Linked DNA regions of Oryzias latipes. The protein of the gene in region 1 binds, or shares a complex with, the protein of each later gene. Links are inferred from orthologs where the notes say so. Each region holds a gene or a part of one and is shown in the gene's direction. Other genes may lie near its edges. The genes, in order: myo3b and espn.

Region 1 (3,823 bases):
GAGATGAAGAGGACTCATGCTGATAAAAATCTGTCCTACATAATTTGAAATGATTATTGGCCATTATTACCAGTGCTTGGCAGGATGCCATGCTAAACTGTACGCCAGGATTTATTCAGAAACTCAAACATTTACCACCTGACGTAAATTGAACGTATACTCCTGGGACATTCAGTCTGAGAAGCACGCCGTTGAATTTCAGACTCTGCTTTTCATCTTTTGTAGGGGTTTCAGCTCAGCTGACCAGCGCACGGTTGCGGAGGAACACGTCTGTCGGGACCCCATTTTGGATGGCTCCAGAGGTCAGGGTCAGCATGTTCATCTCTACCAGTGCAGCACTAACGGATGTTCCAGCGCTTTAATGCGTTCTTTAAGCAAGCAAGGTCTTCATGTTGTACAAAGAGAGAAAAGAGGGAGCGCCTCAGTTATTGCAGTCCCTCCTCTGTGTCATTATGTATTCCCCTCCTATTCTCCTCCACGGGTGCAGCTTTTGAGGTTGCCTCAAGGTTAATAGCTGGGAGTCTGAGGCCCCATTGGCTTACTGTTAGGTACAAATGATGTGCAGTGATTGGCTTGGTCAGTAGAGACCTCAGGGACAATTAGAATAAATTCAGCTTTGAAATGTAATGTCAGTTATAATTACGGACTGGAGGGAAGAGTAGCTGCTGAAGTGACTCGGCTTAAATGGCCCATGAATAAGCCTTTTTTTTTGTTTTTTGTTTTTTTACCAGGAGTGAGTAGGATACAGAAAAATTTAGATGTTTTTCCAAAAATAACTCCTGTGGTTTACAGGACTTGTTTCAGCAGTAGAATGACATTTGGTTTATTTTTGGATTGTTGTAAGTCGGTGACAGTCTGAATGAGCTGCTCAGGTGCCCCCTCCCTGTCGTTTCATGTTGGCAGGTCATAGCCTGTGAACAGCAGTATGACTACTCCTATGACGCTCGCTGTGATGTGTGGTCTCTCGGCATTACGGCCATCGAGCTGGCAGATGGAGATCCCCCACTGGCTGAAATGCATCCAGTTAAAGCCCTTTTCAAGATCCCAAGGTGAGTCCAGCAGAGGGCGCTGTGACCATGCAGCTGGAGGCCCCTCACACAAAGGCGACCATTCAGTCAAGACAGTAGATGACAATAGAAATGATGGGAGACAGCAGCTTTTTTTAATTTAATTTAATTTTTTTAAACTTTTTTCTCCTTTGAAATGCAGAATAAAAGCAAACTTGTCTGTTTTTTTATATTATAGAAGTGCATTTAAATATTTGATATAAAGAGCATCTGCTGAGCTACTGATCATTGCAAACACTAAAAGAAACCATGCTTTTATCTTAAAAGTGTTGATTTCTGCTCTGTGCCTGATGATCACGTGAGGCTTCAGTGACCTTCCTTTATCGGCACAATCCTGCAATTATCTCACAGTTGGGCTGAGATACATTTTCTGATTGCAATTTGCATTGGTGATTAGCTTCATTCACATTGAGATGAGCCTGCCACCTCCTCCCCATCACAATATTACCCCCGCCCTGCCCAGACAGAGCATGGCTTGTGTTGGGAGAATTACGCGAGTTGCTGCAGCCTTGCATTAGCACCAAGTTTGGTCCAGACTGAGCAGTGATTATAAGAGAAGGGCTGTCTGATAGCAGGGCGGGGCAGTGCTTTTTTTCACTGTTCTTGTAACGAGGACTTGTTGCTTTGGTGAGGATTGTTTAAAGTATCCATCCATCTTCTTTGTCCTGTCCAGGGTCATGGGGGTTACTGGAGCTAATCCCAGCTTCTTCAGGGTTAAGTCAGAGTACACCCGGGACAGGTTACCAATCTAATGCAGGGCCACACACAGTCACTCATCCTGTGGATCAAATCGCCAATCAAGCAAGCATGTGTTCAGGACTGAGGGAGTAAGCATATAAAGTAAACACATGTATGGGAAAAAAATGCAAACTTAACCAGGATTTAAACCACAGATTTCTTACTGCAAGGTGGCTGTGCTAACGTGCAACTGAGGAATCACCTTTTATTTTTTACTTAAGCTCACCTCAGATGATGCTACATATATCTAGAGCTGACATCCCTGACTCCACACTCCTGGAGAAATTTATGTTTTGGCCTTTTGCTATGAATTGGGACCTTAAAGGTTTAGTGGTTCTGTCATAAATTTCACTGAATCCACCCAGCCATGAAGCAGTTCTGGTAACATGTCACTTATCTTAAATATCTTCTCCACGTCCCTGGTTTCAAAGTCAGAACAAAGTGCAAGACTCCTGAATGAATTAGTTTTTAAATAAGGGACTGTGCTTCGTACTTATATTTTGGTGTGAATGCCCCAGTGACCCATAAAACCAGACAGACCAGCTCTATGTTTAATAATAGCAAACTTAACTTCACCAGTTCTGTGTCCTGATGGTAGAGTGTTTATCCTCAGTCTAGAGATCATTGGTTTGAGTTCATTGCAAGACCCTTAAAATGGAACCCAACACCTCCCTGGTTGACCTCTCAGCATTAAAGACCCACTCCGATCATCTTTTGATCTGTTTTCAAAGTGTTTCCAAAAAAACTGTCATTTTCTAGTACATAATATCTGCAGAGCAGCAGGAGTTCATTAGAAATCACCTCTGAGTTGTGGAAGAGACCTTTGGTGCAGAGCAACCCTGCCCCCCTTTCCCTACTCATTGCTGATAGCTCTCTGTTTATGCTCTCTCCCAGTAGCGGTTTTAGGCACGGGCCATACGGGCGATCGCCCGGGGCGGAAAAATGACGGAGGGGCGGCGCCAGCGGCTCAGCTCTTGTAAAATACTTTATGCATCACTATTGGTTTACTTATATCACAGAGTTTGTAACAGCCTGAAACCTGGCGGCGGCCCCGCCCCGCAGCTGCGCTCCCTGCTGTCTTTGAGAAGTAGACGCAAATGTGTGTGAGAAGGAGAAGGGAGGGGGCGCGGGGTGAAGAAGGAGAAGGGAGGGGGCGCGGGGTGAAGGGTGCAGGCTGAGGTGAGCACGGAGCACAAAACGCATGCGCAAACCTGGCTGGATCTTCTTCCAGGGGGGCAACGGTCGCGGGCCGCGGCTCAGTGCTGGATGAAAAAATAAAAATAAAAATCGCGCCGCCATGTAGCGAATTGGCGCCCCTGGGTGCAGCTGCACGCGCTCCTGCTGGAAATGTTTGACGAACGGGAGGGGGGGGCTGCGGGTATAAAAAAAGTATAAAAAAATCATGCTTTTTTGGTTATTTCAAATAAAAAATGGGAAAACAAAAAAAAATTCTTCACTTAGATGACAGTTGGTTTAGTCGACAGACTTGATACCTATGTCAGGACATTTATGCTAAATGCAAAAACATCTGAAATATGGAGAAAAAAGGTCAAAGCTGGTGCCCAATTTAGAAAGAAAAGAGAAGAAGAGGAGAAAAGAGACAAAGAAAAGGTTATTATCGCATAGCTAGATGCACGTTTTCTAAATTCGAATGCTACCTGCCCTACAACAACAACAACGTTGCAGAGGAAAAATCTCTTGTTTGGTCTATCATGACCAAAACTGAAGTAGGCCCAAATATTGCAAATAACGTCATTTTTAAGATATTTATTCTTCAATGTTTGCTCTGCCTTAACTTGTAACATTAGTTATGATTCGTGTGTCTGTCTGCTCTGCTGTATCACAAAGTTTTTGTTGCGTTTTATTGTTGTATATTAGTTCATAATGTTAAATAAGCTGTGATGGTAGCATGCTGCTGCTGCTGCTGCTGCTGCTGCTGCTGCTGCTGCTGCTGCTGCTGCTGCTGCTGCTGCTGCTGCTGCTGCTGCTGCTGTTAGCTTTTCAAAACTCCAGTTGAT
Region 2 (3,823 bases), on another chromosome or scaffold:
CAAAACCTGTATGTGTCACGTAGGTAGCCCGCACAAAATTTTAAGATCGTAGAGTCCTAGACCATTCGGTGAGCAAAAATGCTCCTGCACATTTTTTCTACGGGAATGCTACAGGTTGTAGTGTCCATTTAAAAGCAAGGGTAAGTAAGTAAGTGAAAATGGCGAGACACAGATTGTGTGAATTTTCAACCCCACACAAATCCTCCACCAGCACAAGGGGACATTAGTGCTGATCAAGTGATAATTGTGCGCTCCTAGCACACATCCTGACAGTGTAATTTCCTAAATTCTAAAAATCTGTGTAGTTTGTCTGAGCAAGGGGCTAGTATTCATACTTTACTAACAACTAGTGCAGGGATGGCCAACTCCACACCTCAAGGGTCACATTCCTCCATGTTTTCCAACATACCTTGCTCTGGCATGTTCTAATTGGCTGGACACACCTGAACCAGGTAATCAGTCATGATTAGGGCTTGGATATGTAAAATCATGCAGACACACCAGCCCTCGAGGCCTTGAGTTGCCTGTCCCTGGACTGGGGGACCCTCCACAGGGGTCGTACGGGTCAATGCCCATAAGGGTGCATGTGACTAAGGCCTTACTGTTGGTACAAGCTATAACTTGCTTTCATTGCAAATTTACACATTTGTTGTACATTGGATGACGAAATAATGCAAGTTGTATTCTGATGTCTGTCAACTAGAAATTATAATTTTAATAGTTTGTTTACTTTTTACTGAAACATTAGTCGGAATCTTTAAAGCTTTAGAGTTAACTTTAAAGTTAACTACATATGTTTAAAATTCTTGACTCACTTTGTGCTCCTTTTTCTTTCGTTTGCGCTTTGACAACATTCTGTTTTTACACCAACAACGGAAATCTCTCAGAAGGACAAAAGCTTGGGGTCTGCTGTTTGTGCTTATAGACGAGCTTCACTGAGATCAGCCTGACAGACAAGGACAGCGATGGAGCCACAGCCATGCACTTTGCTGCCAGCCGAGGCCACGCCAAAGTGCTCAGCTGGCTGCTGCTGCATGGAGGGGAGATTGTCATCGACCACTGGGGAGGGACCCCACTTCATGATGCAGCAGAGAATGGTGAACTGGAGGTGGGTGAAGTAATTAATAATAACTAGATATCTTTTTTAGAAAAACAAAAGCTGATAGCACTCACATATTTTTACAGTCCTTTAAAATAAGAGGAAATTTTATACCACATGGAGATTAGAATGATGTAATGGAAGCAGTGTGTAAAGGGTAATGCACTATTTGTGCTTTATTCTTGAGGTTTAGGTTTTACAACCATCTGTTTTAAATACATGACTTCTGGGTTGCTGATTTCACCATTTGACCCAACTGCTTTGACTAACTGTTTGCTGTAACCAGTTCTGGTTGTAATGACCACATGTCTAATGTTTACAAAGCAGAGCACAACGCAAGGAAATAGCATAAATACTTTTAAATGAATTGACAGAAAAAACAAATGTAACACACCAAGCAACACTTATGCTCATCAGTTTGGGATCTCTGGATGTTTTCAAGAAAAAAAATGTTTTTCTTGTCTTCAACTTTCCTAATATTTCTTTAACCCTCAGTTATTGATTCATTCAATAAATGTTACTTTATTAGTGCAATCTTTCTTTATTAGTACATGAGCTATCAGGTTTAATGAATATGCTCTGGAGCCAAATTTGGCCCTTGAGTCTTATTATGTTTCTGCTTGATTTTTATGTTTGACTTAAACAAACTTTGCATAAATACTCCACACTGATGGGGAAGATGCTGCCTTACAAATGAAGAGCAAGAGTTTGATCAAACTTCAAACCTTTTCTGGTGTGATTTGTTATGGCAGCTTAAAAACCCCTAAAGAAAATTCTCATCCTTTTTTACTTCATCTCTGATTCTGTCTTTGTTTTCTCCTCAGTGCTGTCAGATTCTTGTAGTGAATGGAGTGGATCTGGGTATAAGAGATCAGGATGGCTTCACAGCGGCAGACCTGGCAGAATACAATGGCCAATCACAGTGCGCAAAATATCTGCGCACAGTGGAGAACATGGTAAGAGCTCTCATCAAGTCCTCACATTGTCTTGAAACTTGACCTCTGACCTCTGTATGAACAGAACCCAGCTGTGAGGTGATGTCAGACAGCCTTGGATGTCAGTCCAGTGAAACTTCTGCTGTCAAATATAATGTTGACATTTTGTACATTTATGTGTTACTTATGTCACAAACTATGACATGGTAAAATGAACAGCTGGATGATAACATTACCCATTACTTTAGATGCTAGTAACCTTTTTAAAATTTGAAAATAGCATTTAATCTATACAAATGAAAAGGTACAAAAATAGCTGCAGGAAAAAAGAATATTAATCAATCATTGCACCTTAAGGGAGCAGCTGTTGCTTTGGGGGAAACCAGCTGTAGGTGACTGGTTCAATTCCTATCTTTGGGAACTAATGTTTCTTTGACAAAGTCACTGAACTCCGGAGTACTACTGATTAGGGATGTTAAGGATACAGATATTTATTGAAAAATCGATCTAGTTATGAGAGTAAGAGCAGTATTGGCTCAAACCACAGATGTGAACAGGATTATGTTGGTAAAAAGATATAATATTGATTGGAAAGTAAATGATAAGTTTCTAACAAACTTAGTCAGTTTTTCTTCCTGTTGTGGTCACGACTGTCTTTTGTGTACTTGTGATGCAAACAAAAAATGTCCAATTACAAGCTTGCTTCTACCCAGCAGGTTAAATACAATTGGCTGAAGGGGTGTCATTACACTTTTTTTACAGCACTTCAAACAATACCTAAATAAATTATTTTATAGGGCCTATATCATGCTAAATCAACTTTTTGAGATTTTAAGTGTATAAAAATGTTTATACCTGTAGAAAAACACCCCCAAATTGCTCCATTCACACATCTTTGAGTATTCCTCTAAAACCCTGCTCTCAGAAAACGGATGGGTCCTCACTTTGCAACGTAACTAAGTGGGGAACAGACTAAGTGGGGAAGAGTCTGCGCTGCCAGCAACCCCCCCCCCAAGCTAACACAAACAGCCACTTTCTCCGTAAAGGTGATGCCTCAGAGATTGAGTCATCTTACTTCTGGGTAGGAAAATGAACTGCAAAAATAACCCAAATTTCATTTAAAATCGTTCTTTGGTATGTCAAAGGTAATATATTATATATATGGATGTGGTTTACCCTGAAAGGCTTAAAAATACCATGATATAGGCCCATTAAATACAAAGACCAAAACCATCTAAAAGGTCCAAAATGCCAGGTTTTATTGTTAAAAGTTGTTATATGGAAGTTTTTTTCCAGTCATAATTCAAAATAATATGCACTTCTCAATTGGCAATTCAATTTACAATATGTCAGACATTTTTGTTACTTAAAATAAAAAGTGCCTTTAAGAGGAAAAAAAGAGTTTCTCTGTTAAGATCCATTTTTATCTATAGTTTTAAATGCCAAATGCATGATAAATATCTAGATGGGATCTACAGTATTTAGGTAAAAGAATTAGGCTGTATCGTGTCACCACAAGGTTACAAGAGTATGTATCGATTTGCGGACCACGTATCAAGATGTATATTGAATCATGTGATAGGATAAAATGCATACCTCTCCCACTGCTGCATTCCTGAGAGTTTTAAAAATAACATGTCAAACTTCACAATTCATTCAAATTCACACACCATCTTCTGCACAAGGAAAAACATTTTTAAAAACAAAATTATGATACTTTTAGGGTCAAATCATTAAAAGGATCTCCTGCTTGGAACAGCATAATTTTAACTCTGAATCTTGCCAAAGA

Evidence for each region.
Region 2: the proteins of myo3b (region 1) and espn are in contact, whole or in part, in a crystal structure (PDB 5ET1), measured with the Mus musculus proteins. The link is inferred for Oryzias latipes from reciprocal best matches to the Homo sapiens genes MYO3B and ESPN. Residues at the interface, in XP_017174528.1 of Mus musculus: Arg1223, Arg1224, Gln1226, Gln1227, Pro1228, Lys1229, Met1230, Leu1231, Ser1232, Ser1233, Asp1236, Thr1237, Met1238, Tyr1239, Tyr1240, Asn1241, Gln1242, Leu1243; in NP_997570.1 of Mus musculus: Leu35, Ala37, His41, Arg45, Ala67, Asn69, Ala71, His75, Asp76, Ala79, Thr80, Asp101, Ser103, Leu110, Arg113, Phe114, Thr135, Thr137, Ala139, His143, Tyr144, Ala147, Thr169, Asn171, Tyr177, Leu178, Gln181, Ala203, Asp205, Met207.

The regions. Positions count from the first base shown.
Region 1 is NC_019879.2:21,807,163-21,810,985, forward strand, and holds part of myo3b (myosin-IIIb), read left to right. Parts: intron 1-225; coding exon 226-302; intron 303-903; coding exon 904-1,049; intron 1,050-3,823.
Region 2 is NC_019865.2:7,840,472-7,844,294, reverse strand, and holds part of espn (espin), read left to right. Parts: intron 1-925; coding exon 926-1,108; intron 1,109-1,923; coding exon 1,924-2,055; intron 2,056-3,823. UniProt on the Homo sapiens protein: Multifunctional actin-bundling protein. Plays a major role in regulating the organization, dimension, dynamics and signaling capacities of the actin filament-rich microvilli in the mechanosensory and chemosensory cells.